2 linked regions of the Tamandua tetradactyla genome follow. The protein of the gene in region 1 interacts with the protein of each later gene in a biochemical or structural test. Links are inferred from orthologs where the notes say so. Each region holds a gene or a part of one and is shown on either strand. Other genes may lie near its edges.

Region 1 (7,388 bases):
TAACAGCCTGCAGGGAACAGAGAGGGGGAGGCAGTGCTTGGAAGGGGTGTAGGAGAAGTGGGTTGGGCTGTACTTGGGGTGTGGGTGTGGGGCAGGTACATGCACTGGGGGCTGGTGGGGTCAGGGTCCCTAGAGCACAGGGAATGGGTGCAAGTAAGGTTCAGGTGCATGGGGTGTGGGGTGTGGGGTGAGTAGCCGGTCATGGGGCTATGCCGGTGAGGGCAGTGCGCCCAAGGAATGTGTCCTGGCTTACTTCCTAGTCCCATGTACTTGTCTGTGCACTCCCACAGGCTCCACCACTCCATGCCTCCACACCAGGTTCCACCTTTCTGCCTCTCAGTTCTTTGGGCTCTGCAACCAGGGCTGCCACATGTGGTGCAGAAGGCTCTCCCAGGTCAGCTGCACTCCTGAATTGCTGCCTCAGTTATCCTCCTGTCCGTTCTTTAACTTCTCCATGGAGCAGGGCTAATCTCAAGCTGCTCTAGTTGGCCATCTTCCTGGAAGTTGGGGTTTGATTCTGAATCAGCTTTTATTAAGGGGATTTATTTAGTTAAAAATTTTTAGTTCTTCAGAAGAAAGGCAGCTAACTTTCATCTGATGTTCTCAGTTACATAGGAAAGCACATGGCAATTTCTGTTGGCCTTCTCTCCTGCCTCCTGTGTTCCATCGGCTTTCCCAGGGTGATTCTTTTCTGCATCTCCATATGTCTGGGCTGAACTGTGAGTGTGGAGATGAGTATGCTGAGCTGCTGAGCTCTCTTCTGACCTCTCTCTTTTAAGCCTCTAGTTAATTAAATTAAAGCTTACTTATTCTGGAAGCCACTCCTCCTGGCTGACTGCAAATATAATCAGCCATAGATATACCACTGATTTAAGTCCATAGAAACAGAGCAATAGGGCATCATCCCCTGGCCAAGTTGACACCTGAACCTAACTACCACACTTGCTTTTTCTGAAATGTCTGACTTGTTTCATGTTTAGTAAAATCCTCACATGGGGCACTATTCTCTGGGGTCTTCCTTTCTGGAAGCCCAGAATTTTCCAGACCACCAATTTCTGGTTTCTTTATATTCAAGAGTTCAGTGCTTAGCTTATCCCTTTCCTGTCACATTTCACTATATGCTGCAAGAGAAACCAGGCCACATTTTCCACATTTAGTTTGGATATCTCTTCTGCTAAGTACCCTGGCTCACCACTTTTAAATTCTGCCTCCCATCCAACACCAGTAGTCAATTTTCCCAGATTCTCTTTCACTTTTAAACAGGGGTCACCTTCCTTCCAGTTTGCAGTAACACATCCATTATTTCTGTCTAAGGTCTTATTGGAAGTATCTTTAGAATCCACATTTCCACCAACATTCTCCTCAAAGCATTGTAGGTCTTCTCTGTCAAGCTCCTCACAATTTCTCCAGAGTCTTCAACTTATCCATTTAAAAAGCTGTTCCAACATGTTGATCATTTGTGCACTCCAGCACCCCACTTCTCTGGTACCAAAATCTGTTCTGATTTGTTAAAGTTCATCATTAAAGGCCATAAAAATGTCCTAACTAAGGCATCCGTAAAAAGATACCTTGACTCAAGAAAGGCTGATATCTGTCACATCGGAAGGCACATGGCTAGCATCTGCTGGTCCTTGTTCTAAGTTCTGCTGCTTCCAGCTTCTGATGCTAGGGGTTTCCTCTTTAAGCCTCTATGGGCCTTCACTTAGCTCCTCTGAGACATAACTCTGGGTTCTGGCTTTCTTAGCATCTCATGGGAAGGTACATGATGACATCTGCTGGGCTCTGCATCTCCAAATGTCTGTATCTAGGTGTCTGCTTTCTCTGTTGGCACTCCAAGCATCTCCAAATGTCTGTGTCTCTGAAGTAACTGTGTTTTCTCCAAAATGTCTCCTCTTTTAAAGAATTTCAGTAAACTAATCAAGACCCACCTTGAATGGGCGGAGTCATATCTCCATCTAATAAAAATTGGGTGTGTCACATCTCTGTAGAGTAATCAAAAGGCCACACCCACAACTGAGTGGGTCAATCTCCATGGAAACAATCTAAGTTTTCCAGATACAATACAGAATCAGGATTAAAGGCCATGGCTTTTCTGGGGTACAGAATACTTTCAAACCAGCACAGAACCCACTAGCCAATGCAGAGCCTATTTGCAAAGACTGTAAACGGTGATTTTTACTTTGGTTTGTTTGTTTTAATTAGCTCCTGGCACTCAAGGAATTCTCTGTCATATCACCATCTGGAGACAAACTTAGGAAAAGACAGCTCATGTACTAAATACCAGAGATAACACTTTAAAAATATCAAAGTATACAGTGCACAACAAAAGATTTTAAGACAAAGAAACAAGAAATGTCCAAAGGAACAACATAAACTCTAGAAACTATCAATGAAAAGGACTGGACTTTGGACATAACAGACAAAGACTCAAAAAAAAGATCCTCATATATGCTGAAGGAGATAAAAGAAAACATGGAGAGAGGACTAAAGCATATGAGGAAGACAATGAATAAACAATTGGGAATCTCAATAAAGAGAAAGAAATTTTTAAAAAGGAACCTAACCGACAAAGTATAAAGCAAATTGGGTAGGTAGATGGAAATACTAGTTATCAATGAGAGGGATGGGTGAGGTGTATGACATGTATGAGTTTTTTCTTTTTTCTTTTTATTTCTTTTTCTGGAGTGATGCAAATGTTCTAAAAAATGATCATGATGATGAATACACAACTTTGTGATGATACTGTGAGCCATTGATTGTATGTCACATATGGAAAGTATGTGTGTGAAGATTTCTCAATAAAAATACTAAGAAAAAAAAAGGGAACCCAACAGAAGTACTGGAGTTGATGAATAACTGAAATGAAAAATTCCTAGGAGGATTTCAACAGCATAGAAGAACTGGCAGAAGAAAGAATCAGTAACCTGGAAGACAACACAATTGAAAAGATTAAGGAAAAGGGCCAAAAAGAAAAAAGAATATTAAAAAGTGAAAAATGGCCTAAGAGACATTTGGGACAACATCAAGCATACTAAATATATGCATAATGGAAGTCCCAGAAGGAGAAGAAAAAGAGAAAGGGGCAGAAGGAGTATTCAAATAAATAATGACAGAAAATTTCTGAAACTTGGTAAAATATATGAATATGCACACGCAAGTAGCACAGAGAACACCAAACGGGATAAATTTGAAGAAAAATGTACTCCATCACATATCATTCAAACTGTTAAATGCAAAGATCAAGTACAGAGGTTAGTTCTGAAAGCTGCAGGAAACAAGCAGTGAGTTATGTACAAGGGAGTCCCAATCAGATTGAACGCCAATTTCTCATGAGAAACCATGGGAGCAAGAAGGAAGCAGATTGCAATATTTTAAATGTTGAAGGAAAACGATAGCCAACAAAGAATTTTACATTCCGCAATCCTTTCATTCAAAAATGAGGGAGAGATTAAGTCATTCCTAGATAAAGAAAAGCTAAGGGAGTTCATGACCACTAGACCTTCCTTACAAACAGTGCTAAAGGCTGTTCTTCAGACTGAGAGGAAAGCACCCTAGACAGTGGTGCAAAGCAGCATAAAGAGATAAAGATTTGCGGTAAAGGTAATCATATGAGTAATTATAAATGGTGGTACAATTATATTGTATTTTTGGGGTATGCAACTCCACTTTTTACTTCTTACACCTTATTACAGGTTCTAAAATGTAAATGCATAAAAGTAATGATAAATCTATGGCTTTAGATATAAAATTTATAGAGATATAATTTGTAAAATGCAAAAACAAAATGGTGAGGGGACAGGAGTATATTTAGTAAAAGTACATGTGTATGCTAAAATGTAACTGCTGTTTTTTTTGCATACATTAGAGAACAGTTTAGACAAGTGGAGAAAAACTACACAATTGTTAAGACTTCTGTGTGCTTTCATAAGTCAAATAAAATGAAATATTCATTCTACACATCACCAATCCTCACCTCATTCCACCCTGTAAAAATTAAACATTTTCTACTTCCCTTAATTAAAAAGCAAACCAAAAAAAACCTCAAAACCCTCAGTCAAACATACCCAAATTTTTATCTGTGCAAGAAGGTACGTAGTTTTTCAAAATTCTTTTAGGCAGTATACCTGCAAATGGGTTTGGCGACCAAAGTCCTCGCGAAACCATCTACATAGTTTCCTGGGTCCCTCCCCTTAAGTATGTTTGGTTCCAAAGTCAGTGGCACGGCTGGCCCAGCTGGGTGACAAAACTAGCGTCTCTAGGAGCGCCTGGGCGACGGCCCCTTCGCGGCGGGGCGGGGCTCTCTGACACCTCCAGCGTGACTTCCCTTTCAGTCTTGCTCCCAAGTTGCCGGCAGAGCTTGGTCTGTCTTCCCGCCAGAGTTTTAAGTTTCATTTCCCACCGCGTCAGCTAGTTCCTCTTCCGCGTGGGCTTTTCCACTTGCGGAGTCTTCTCTCCCGGAGCCAGGAGAGTCCGCCATGGACATCGGCCGCGAAAAGGTGAAGCGGTTCGCCTCAAAGGCCGGAGCTTCCGCGCCCAAAGTCTCCGCGTCCAAAGACTCCGCGCCCAAAGGCTCCGCGGCCAAAGGCTCCGCGCGGAATGCGAGAAGCGCTCTGGAAGACCCCAACGAGTCTGCGTTCACCCCGGGGGTCGCTCAGCCCAGCGCCGGGAGATGCGGCTCCTCGGGATCCCTGCGGAAGAAGAGCGCCCCGGACCTCCAGGAAAGGCCAAAGGTTCGCGCGCGGGGGTCACGCACCAAGAAGGCACCTCTAGGAGCTGAGGATGCGCAGTCCTTGGGCGCTACCGGCGAGGCCTCGGTGGAGGAACAGGTGACTCTTGCGGACCTAGCTGTCCCGGGGACGCCCTTTCCCGGGGCTGGATCTGGCCGCCAAGAGCGCGCGTCCTCCGCTCTGGGGCGGAAACCCGAGCCAAGGCCCAAGGAGGTACCCATCCCCGGCCCGCTGGTCCCGGCGCCTCGCTTGGGCCGGAAGGAGGCGGTGCAAGCGGGCTGGAGGCCCCGCGCGGTGCTGGAGAAGTTGAAGCTGAGCCGCCAGGAAATCTCGGCGGCTGCTGAAATCGTGAACAGGATTTTGGACCATCTGGTGAAGAGACTGCAGAGCTGCGAGTCCGAATTCAAAGGCGTCGCGCTTCTGCGCACCGGAAGCTACTACGAGCGCGTGAAGGTGAGCTGTCCAGCGCCAGCCCTCCGGTTCCGCGACGTGCGGCCCCAACTTTCTCACCCTGCTCTCTCTCCCCAGCCTCTCCGATATTTACCCCCATCCACTCCTGGGCTCCCACTCCTTCACTTCCCTCAGGCTCTTGTTCTTCCGTGGCCTGTGACACAATTCTAGTTACAAGGACAAACATTTCCTTTGTTCATCCGACTATCCCACGATCATCCAACCAACCAATATGTAGTGCCAGCTACTCACGAGACACTGCTTTTGGATGAATTCCAATGTATAGATTCATTCATGCAGGCGCACTTGTATTGAGTTTTTATGTAACAGTGCTATGTACTTGGTGGTAAGTGAGGATCCAGGTCAGTTCTGACTTGCATGATTTGGATGGTCTGTGAGGAATTTCACGTAATTATTATATCTGAGAGACTTTTTACTGTGAGAAGGAGATATGTACTCTATAGGGAAAATATTTTCTGTCCCCTCCTGCATTTCTGATACAGATGTCATGGGAAGCTCAGTAAGTGAAGTTAAAGACATCAAAAGAAAAACTCATATTGGTATTAAAAAACATAGTTTGTAAATACACTGATATAGTTGCTTTTAAACTGTTCCAACTGTTTGTAGGTGGTTAAAGTCATTAAAATAGTCATTGCAGTATAAATTGATGTTCAGGAGTACGTTCCTGAAACTGAGTTGGCTGCCTGAGCAGTGGCAGATTTCTTTGATTGTGTTTTCAGCTGTCTGCCAGTTTTTTTGAGTGCTGGGTGGTGCACTTTAGATCTGTGTAAGATTGTAAGTAAAGTATGAACAGAAATAGAGGCTGATAGCATATCTTTATTAACTAGTTGTAATTTATTTTAGAGTTGCATATTCGCTTTATTCAACTAACTGCTCTCCTCTAGAAAAAGAGTGATTATCAAATTCTGGATTTAGGGCTTTAGGGTTATAAACTCTTAAGAGAGCAGGGCAAATATTATGCATCTTTGTATCACTAAGCCCAGTGGTATAGCAAGCACTCAAGAGAATGGACTGAATGAATGAATGGGCTCCAGGAGAAAGGATGGGTGATCTCTCTCAAGACCCATGCCTTCTCAGGGTAGCAAAGTCACATTTAATTCCCATGATAAGAATTTAACCTGGTAGCCTTCAGTGGAGATTAAACCTTTCATATATTTTTGATTTGGCCTCCCACCTAGATTGTACACTACATTATTGTGGAGTGCTTACACCAAAATGTTTGTACCCTCTGCAGCTGCTTATTTCAGTGGTGCTGATTTAGTGACATTTGTTGATTGTAAAAAAGGCAGTGTATGTAGGGAAAAAAGACGGTGTGTGTATTGGTCTTTGGATCTTAAACTCTTTTAGCACTGAAGACCACTCATAGTTCGGTCTAAAAGTTTCTTGAAAGCCACATGAGGAAAATTTCATAAGACTGTCTTGAGCATGATTCTAATTGTGTAAGTTTCAATTCAGTTCAATTATATAGAGGGTCCAAAGGAAAAAGAAAGTTGTTAGGACTAGAGAACAACAGGAGATTTAGAGAACAGCCTCCAATAGGATCCATTCTCCTTTTTTCTCCTTTTTTTGGTGGGGGAGGTAATCCGTGCATGGGCCAGGAATTGAACCTGGGTCTTCCAGGTGCATGGCAGGTGAGCATTCTACCACTGAGCCACCCATGTTCCCTCACTCTCCTTTTTAAAATCACATTGATGGAGCTAAATTTAGTAAATTTATTTAAAACATTTATTGATTATTATTATTATTATTATTTTACTGACTAAGCAAGAGGTAGTATATATGTAGGGTGGGGAGTTGGTGCTTAATGGGTGCAGAGTTTCTGTCTGGGGTTGTGATGGTTTGGAGGCAGCATTGTTCCAAGAAGATCATTTCCTTAATACTAATCCCTTCCTGTGGGTGTAAACCTGTTGTAAGTAGGACCTTTTGATTTGGTTATTTCAATTGAGACATGCTCCACGTGGATCTTAATCCTCTCACTGGAGTCCTTTATAAGAGGATAAACACACAGAGGCTCAGAGAGGAAGACACAGAACCTCAGAGAGAAAAACACAAAAAACAGAGAAAAAGACAGAAGCTGAGAGAAAAATCCACAGATCCTGAAAGAGAAAGACAGAGAAGTTGAAAGAGAAAGCCACAGAAACAGAGGGGAAGCCACTGAAGCCAGAAGCTGTAAGCAAAGAAGCCTGAAAG
Region 2 (8,100 bases), about 98 Mb from region 1:
AAAAAAAAAAAGGTGACTCAGGAACTGCTTCAAGTTGGAAAAGACTAGGCAGATGTGACAACTAAATGCAATGTAGGATCCTGAATTGGGTCCTGGACAAGAAAAAGGGCATTAGCGAAACAAAAGGCAAAATCTGAATGAGGTCTATAGATTAGTTGGTAGCACTGCACCAGTGTTTATTTACTTGTTTAGATAATTTTAATATGGTTACATAAGATGTTAACATTAGGGGAAGATAGCTGGAGGGTATTCAGGAACTTTGAGTATTATTTTTGTGACATTTTTAAGTCAAAAATTATTTCAAAACAAAAAGTTAAAAATTATAATAATGCATGTCAGATGTCAGCAATTTTCTTTTTTTGTAAAGGGTCATATAATAATAAATACTTCAGGCTTTGTGTGCCATATGCTCTCTCAGGCATATACTCACCTCTGCAGCTGTAGCATTGAAGTAGCCAAAGATAACATGTAAATGAATGGGTGTGACTGAGTTCCAATAAAACTTTATTATGGATACTAATATCTGAGTTTTCCATAATTTTTCACAATCATGAAACTGTCTTCTTTTGATTTATTATCAACCATTTAAAAATGTAAAAACCATTCTTACCTCATGGGCCATACATAAATAGACAATATGGCCAGATTTGGTCCTTAAGGCAATAGTTTGCAGACCCCTGCGCTTTAGGTCAGAATATACCAATGTGTGCCTCATAAAAAAAAAGTTTCATATCAAATAAGCTTGACAAAGCTACATTAAACAAAATTATTGTAGGACTTCCCAGCGCTTTTAACGTGGTACTATACACTGAGAACCTCCAAGAAGGGATAATAGTAAAAAATTTTTCCCAAACTTATTTTTACCACAGAACCATTTTTTTCAGAGGCATCTCTTCAGACCACTGGTCTGAAGAACACACTTAAGAAAAGCCAATTTAGGTACTTCTTCAAAGGGGAACTTTCAAACTGAGACGTTTCAAAAATACTTATCTCCCCACCACCAAATTAAAATCACTGTACCCAGCACCTAGATAATATCTGAACAAATATTTCACAATTTTTTTAAGTCCTAGGAAACATAAACAAGCAAGTAGATAAACACAGGCAGGAAGTCTTGGCTCAATCCCAACCTTTTTTTTGGCAGGTCAGCAGAATAGGGTCATAACATGGAATCTCTGCCCATAGAGCAACTTAAACATTCTACCAGGCTTTTAAGTGATCTACTTGGAAGGAGTTTTGATGTTTGATTAACTAATGAAATACTAGAAACATTATACGTAGATTACATGTAAGTGAGAATGAACCAGCAAGTCAAATCCAGAAAACTGACTTTTTATACTGGATGAAAAGTTAGCAACAAAATGCAAAAATTCTCTCATTTGGCACAATACACCACACACTGCAAAAGAGAGGATTAAAAAGGGATTTATGTCCCAGGAAGGAGAAGTTGGCCTGAACAACCTCAAGAGGCCCTTCCAAGCAAGAGTCCTCAATTCTGTGATCCAAAGAGCTCACTGGCTTTTCCTGATCAAATGCAAAGACTTAAGGGCATTTCTAAGGTGTCCTTAGAAAATAAGCTACTAAACAATGGGGAACACATCCTGCTTTCATTCAGTAAACATTTAAGGAGCCAGGATCAGATGTTGGGCCATTCCAAAGTCCCTGAAAAGAAGAATGGTTCACAGAACAAGGAGGAAAAAATTACTTAAGGTCATAAGACTCTGCTCCCAGGAGATCTGCATGGAGAGTGGGGGTGGGGTTCAAGAAAAGGAGGCAGAAAAAAGAAACAACACATTTACCCTGTGGGCAGAGTCAGTATCAGAAAGAGTCAAAATAACTAGTTAGAATCAGAGACTTTCAAGTTAGAAAGGACTTCAGTCTAATACTGGTAAACTTCTGTCAAGAGAGAATTCTCTTCCTCTTGAGGTAATCCATTCCATTGATGGTCACCTCTGACAGTTCCTCCATTAAATCCTTCTATTAAGTCAAAATCTCATCTTCCAGTAGAATTCACCTATTGGTCCTAGTTCTGTCTCTTTCATCCTCAAAGATGACGTAGGAGCCCTCTTTGCCATAGTAATTCTTCAGTATTTGAACACAGTACCCTTCCAGTACTGTCTTTTCTCAACTAAACATCCCATTCTTTCAAGATTCTGCAGATTCCAGCTGCCTCAAAGCGAAAAATGGATATCAAGTCTTCACAGCAAGAAGTACTTAAGATCGATGGGTTTCAAAAATCAGTACTTGCAGGATGCCCCAGAGTACGTTCAAACTGCAGAATCCCAAGTTTCTATCGAGATTCTAAATCAGAGGCCTGAAATGCGGCCCAGAAATCTATATCTTAAAGCATGTATCCTGGCAGATCTCGAAGCATTTGGTGTACAACCATATTAAGAGAAACACTGTCCCGGGCAGGCCATAGTGGCTCAGCAGGTAAGAGTGCTTGCCTGCCATGTCTGAGGACCCGGGTTCGTTTTCCCGGTGCCTGCCCATGTAAAAAAAAAAATAAAAACAAAAAAAATTTTTAAAAAAAGAAACACTGTCCCACTTTACAAGCGAGGAACTGAGGTCCAGCACAAGGAAGGGATCTGGTCAAAACTGCACAACCAGCTGTGAGCGGCGAGTTCTAGAATTTACGTCTTTGACTCCCAAACAACTCTGTTCAACACGCTTCCCGGCCTCGGATTTTCCACTCGGGACAAACTCGTTAAAAGTCCCTTCACTTGAGGAAAGCAGCCCCGCGCGGGGGCCAAAAAGAAACTTAGGGTAAGGTAAGTCTCTGCCTGGATGGGACAGCCCGCGGGAGCCCCGCTCCTTCTCGGGCCTCAGTTTCCTCAATCTGTAATCATAAGAAGACCACAACGTCAACACGACCTACCTGCTGAGGCGGAGGGCCCGGGGCAAGGCTGGGCTTGCTGTCGCTGGGACCCGCGGCCCTCCGGAAGTCCCAACATAGTCCCTCGATCCCCAACCTCGACGGTCCCTAGCCACTGCCCCGGCTCCCACATACCTGCTTCCTCCGCGCAGATAACGCCACCAAGGACACGCCAGCCGGTGGCCTATTTGCCGTCTGTCCAGTCAGTTGGTCCGGACGGACCTACGATCCTTCCCACGCGAACTCCGGTCACCTGACGCGGACCCGCCCCCCCTTACAGGGACTTCCGGCTCCAACTGGAAAAGGTGGGTCCGACGCACTGACTTCCTGCCTAGGCCCCCGGATCTAAGGTTCCGTCTGCCGGCAGGAAGCGTAGGAATGCAGGGACAATTGAATGTTTCCCACGTAACCTGAAATCGGGGTTCCATGAAGAAGTCGATTGTAGGGTTGGGACGAGGAAAGCCTCATATGAGCCTAAAACATCTGTTGCACAAGAATGTGAGGAAGTGTCCTAGGACACAGGAGCTAACTCAAAAGGATAATCTGGGCATCAAAAGACATAATATTATTGGGTTATAGCCAAGTGAGTAAAGTAGTAATCCATGAGTCTTTACTGACCTAAAGACGTGAGTAAGTAAATGAAAGGGGAAGAAGGGAAAGTTCTTTCTTATAGTAGAATGCCAACTAATAATCATGATAGAATTAGAAAATCAACAGTAGATGGCAAAACTAGAGACATAGGATACTTACAAAATAAAAGGGTCTCCTATAAATTACCAATTAATGACAAAGGGAAAATGAGTAATTTTATAGAGGCAAAAACCTAGTAGAAAAAAATGATCAAAGTAATCACAGTTGACATAATCAGGAAAGGGTCAGGTGGATATCATGTGTCTCCTAATAAGACACACTGAAAAGGACACAGCATCTCTTCTCTGATAATTCTGCTGAAAATGCATAGTCCCAACCTCAGGAGGAAGCCTCTGACAAACCCAAATCAAGAGGCATTCTACAAAATAACTGACCTATACTCTTCAAAAATGTCAGGGGCATGAAAGACAGAGAAAAACTAAGGAAATTTTGCAGTCAAAAGGTTACTAAAGAGACATGACAACTAAATGTGATGTGCAGTGCTAAACTGAATCCTAGGTTAGAAGGGAAAAATAGTTGTAATGGATAATACTGGCACAGGTGATGACATTTGAATAAGGGTTGCAGAATAACTACTAATATGTATGGTATCAATGTTAAATTTTCTGAGTTTTTATCATTGTACTGTGTTATATTAAGAAAACATCCTGGTTCTTTGGAAATATTCACTGAAATATTTAGGAAGTAAGGGGTACAATGTCACCAACTTTTAAAAATTCAGAAAAGTGTTGTGGGTATATTTATATGGATATGTAGAATGGTTAAGCAAATAAAGCAAAATGTAAACAATTTTAAAGAAAATCTAGTTAAAGCATATTTTGGGGTTTCTTGTATAAATTTTGTGACTTTTCTGTGAAAAAAGAAATAAAAAGAAAAACTTGCCAAGAAATGGGAAGTGTGGAATTGCCTGGGTCCTAGCTCATTCATATATTTATCTATCAAACATTAATTGCTTTCCACATGCCAACTCCTGTACCCGGGACTGGTTATACAGCAAGAGACAAGATCTTTGCTTGCAAATCTAGTGGGAAATATATTACACATGTAATCACTCAACTAATTGGCTACTTAAAATAATCATAGCTAACATTTAGTGAGCCTTTTTCAGCACAGTACACAGAATGTTTCATTTGATCATCACAGGAAGCAGCCTTATGAGTGCATTTGGTGCTTACCCCATTTTACAAATGGGTTAAGGTTTAAAAGTTTGCACGATTTTATCATTCTATAAAAAGTTAAGTTTTCATGTCACATACCGATAGGTGGTAGAGCTGGGATTTCAACCCAGGCGGTTGTTCTCTTGAATTCTTGATACCCATCTATGCTAGTTTGAAAGAATGTATGGACCCCTAGAAAAGCCATATTTTAATCAAAATCTCATTTCGTAAAATGGCAGAATAATCCCTATTCAATACTGTATGTCTGAATCTGTAGATAGATCATCTTCCTGGAGATGTCTCCCAATTAAGAGCGGTTGTTAAACTGGATTAGGGGAGCCGTGTCTCCACCCATTTGGGTGGGTCTTGATTGGTTTACTAGAGTCCTATAAAAAAGGAAACATTTTGGAGAATGAGAGTTTCAAAGAGGGAAGAGAACGCTGCAGCACCACAAAGCAGAGAGTCCATCAGCCAGCGCTTTGGAGATGAAGAAGGAAAACGCCTTCCGGGGAGCTTCATGAAACAGGAAGCCAAGAGAAGAAGCTAGCAGATGACGCCGTGTTTGCCATGTGCCCTTCCAGATGTGAGAGGAACCCTGACTGGGTTCGCCATGTGCTCTTCCACTTGAGAGAGAAACTCTGAACCTCATCAGCCTTCTTGAACCAAGGTGTCTTTCCCTGGATGCCTTTGATTGGCCATTTCTATAGACTTGTTCTAACTGGGACATTTTCTTGGCCTTAGAACTGTAAACTAGCAACTTATTAAATTCCTCCTTTTTAAAACCATTCTGTTTCTGGTATATTGCATTCTGGCAGCTAGCAAACTAGAACACCATCTTCGTCATGTTATTCCTTCAGTAAACATTTATTAAGCGTATACAATGATCCCAGACACTATAAGAGATTGGGCCTGACTTGGGGTGAAGCTAATAGATGAAATTAACTGAGAGATGAATCTGCTTAGCTCCCAGAGGCTGGTGTTCTGAGTTTCCTCAATTATCAGCCTTCTCTGTGGTTCCTATGAACAAGGGGTAGCACAGGGAATGTTTCCAGTTAGGAAAATCTGGATTGGAGTCCAGCCTCTCAGAGAGAAAAGTAGCTCCTGACACTAGGAATCTGCCTGGCACCCAAGCCTTGAGTTACTGTGAACTGGCACTCACAGATTGCCTGCGTTGTTGTTCTGTTAAACACAGACAATTTCATAGACCATCAATATCAGAAAAGGCCACTCTGTGGATCAGGCTTGAAAGATGACAATACCACAGTCATGTCTGAACTCAGACAAAACACGAGCATTGTCCAAACCACGAAAAGAATCGAACATTTCCCTCTCCTGGTTCATATGGAAATTGTTATGTCTCTACCAATTACAGCTTTAGCTTCAGCCTAGTTTTCCCTCTTTCTAGATAAGATTTATTAAGATACCTGCTCATCAGTGTGGACCGCCAAGGCTGTAGGCTGAGCCCCCAGTTTTGGGGTTTGTTCATGTGAAACTTAACCCCACAAAGGACAGGTCAAGTCTACTTAAAATTTAGGCCTAAGATTCACCCCCAAGAGAGCCTCTTTTGTTGCTCAGATGTGGCCTCTCTCTCCAGCCAGCACATCGAGCAGTCTCACCACCCGCCTCCTGTCTATGTGGGACATGACTCCCAGGGGTGTGGACCTTCCTGGCAACGTGGGACAGAAATCCTGAAATGAGCTTAGACTCAGCATCAAGGAATTGAGAAAACCTTCTGGACCAAAAGGGGGAAGAGTGAAATGAGACCAAGTTTCAATGGCTGAGAGATTCCAAACAGAGTTGAGAGGTTATCCTGGAGGTTATTCTTACACATTAAGTAGATATCACCTTGTTATTCAAGATGTAGTGGAGAGGCTGGAGGGAACTGCCTGAGAATGTAGAGCTGTGTTCCAGTAGCCATGTTTCTTGAGGATGATTGAATAATGATATAGCTTTCACAATGTGACTGTGTGATTGTGAAAACCTTGTCTGATGCTCCTTTTATCTACCGTGTCAACAGACAAGTAGAACATATGGAATAAAAATAAGGAATGGGGAAACAAATGTTAAAATAAATTTAGTTTGAAATGCTAGTGATCAATGAAAGTGAGGGGTAAGGGGTATAGTATGTATAATCTTTTTTTTTTCTGTTATTGTTTTATTTCTTTTTCAGTTGTCTTTTTATTTCTTTTTCTGAATTGATGCAAGTGTTCTAAGAAATGATGAATATGCAACTATGTGATGATATTGAGAATTACTGATTATATATGTAGAACGGAATGATATGTTAATGTTTTTGTTTGTTCTTAATTTTTTAAATTAATGAATAAATTAAATAAAAAAAGATACCCACTCATGGCATCCAATCCAGAGCAATGCCCCACTTCCACAAATCCTCTTCAAGACCACTTATGAGTCCTTTCTAACATTCTATTACTGAGACGTCCCGTTGTTTCCCATGGGTTGCATTTCCCCTTCACTGCAAGGAATAACAAAGCCAACTTGTTCAACCACAGTTGCGTTTCTGGTGGTCTTTGGCTAGAGGTCATCGATCTCTCGCTAGATACATGACTTACAGACGCCTCCGTTTTCTCATCTATTAAATGGGAAGATTTCTTCTGATCTCAAAAGATTATTGTAAGAATACCTGGAACAGATTTAGACCAGAGTGAGCGCTCCAGATATTTTTTAAAAAATTCATGTTTGAGCTACTACTTTCTTTGAAGAAGTCACCGAGGACTTTCATTGTGAAAAGACAGCAATCGTCTTCAATTAAAATAAACTTGCTGATCATATTCCCCATTGTTCTTTCTATTGGGCTCATAAGGCACGCTAAAGAAAGACTGCCACTTGTCCTTTCTCACAAATACGGTCACTCTCATGGTCTCTTCTGGAAAGCAATCGTCCGTTCCTAAAACTTTAGTCTTAGAGAATCAGCACTGTTTATTTCTTCATATTCTTGCTATTAAAAGTTCCCCAGAAATAATGGAATTGGAACTAACGGACTTGGAAGAAGTACTTCAGCTTCAAAAATATATCCAGGAATAGCTTCCCTGCTTTAATACACGAATACTCCATAGATCCTGAAAGCCTTGTGGGCGGTGTTTGAATTTATCCTGGTAGCATGAGTTTAATATTATGTGATGCCTACAACAAATTATGCTGAATAAAAGATATTCATTCCAGTGAGAAAAATAAAATAAATAAAAGCGGTCTTATTTCTCCTTCTCCTTGGTCTGAGTATCGCAAGGATTCTCAGTTTAATAGCCCTAAACTTTCACCTTCCCCCTGCCCACTCCACCTCCTTCCCCTTACTCCAATAAAAATAAAAATAAAAATAATAATAATAAAAGAAGCTAGTATTTATTGAATGTTTATAATGTGCCATACACTGTGCTAAGGACTTTATGTGATTGTTAT

The links.
Region 2: of the proteins of CGAS (region 1) and RNF185, one has a biochemical effect on the other in vitro, tested with the Homo sapiens proteins (2 studies listed by BioGRID). The link is inferred for Tamandua tetradactyla from reciprocal best matches to the Homo sapiens genes CGAS and RNF185.

The regions. Positions count from the first base shown.
Region 1 is NC_135331.1:129,402,251-129,409,638, reverse strand, and holds the start of CGAS (cyclic GMP-AMP synthase), read left to right. Parts: upstream 1-4,313; 5' UTR 4,314-4,475; coding exon 4,476-5,180; intron 5,181-7,388. UniProt on the Homo sapiens protein: Nucleotidyltransferase that catalyzes the formation of cyclic GMP-AMP (2',3'-cGAMP) from ATP and GTP and plays a key role in innate immunity.
Region 2 is NC_135331.1:31,604,479-31,612,578, forward strand, and holds the start of RNF185 (E3 ubiquitin-protein ligase RNF185), read right to left. Parts: upstream 3,163-8,100; 5' UTR 3,011-3,162; intron 3,005-3,010; exon of another isoform or gene 2,879-3,004; intron 1-2,878. UniProt on the Homo sapiens protein: E3 ubiquitin-protein ligase that regulates selective mitochondrial autophagy by mediating 'Lys-63'-linked polyubiquitination of BNIP1.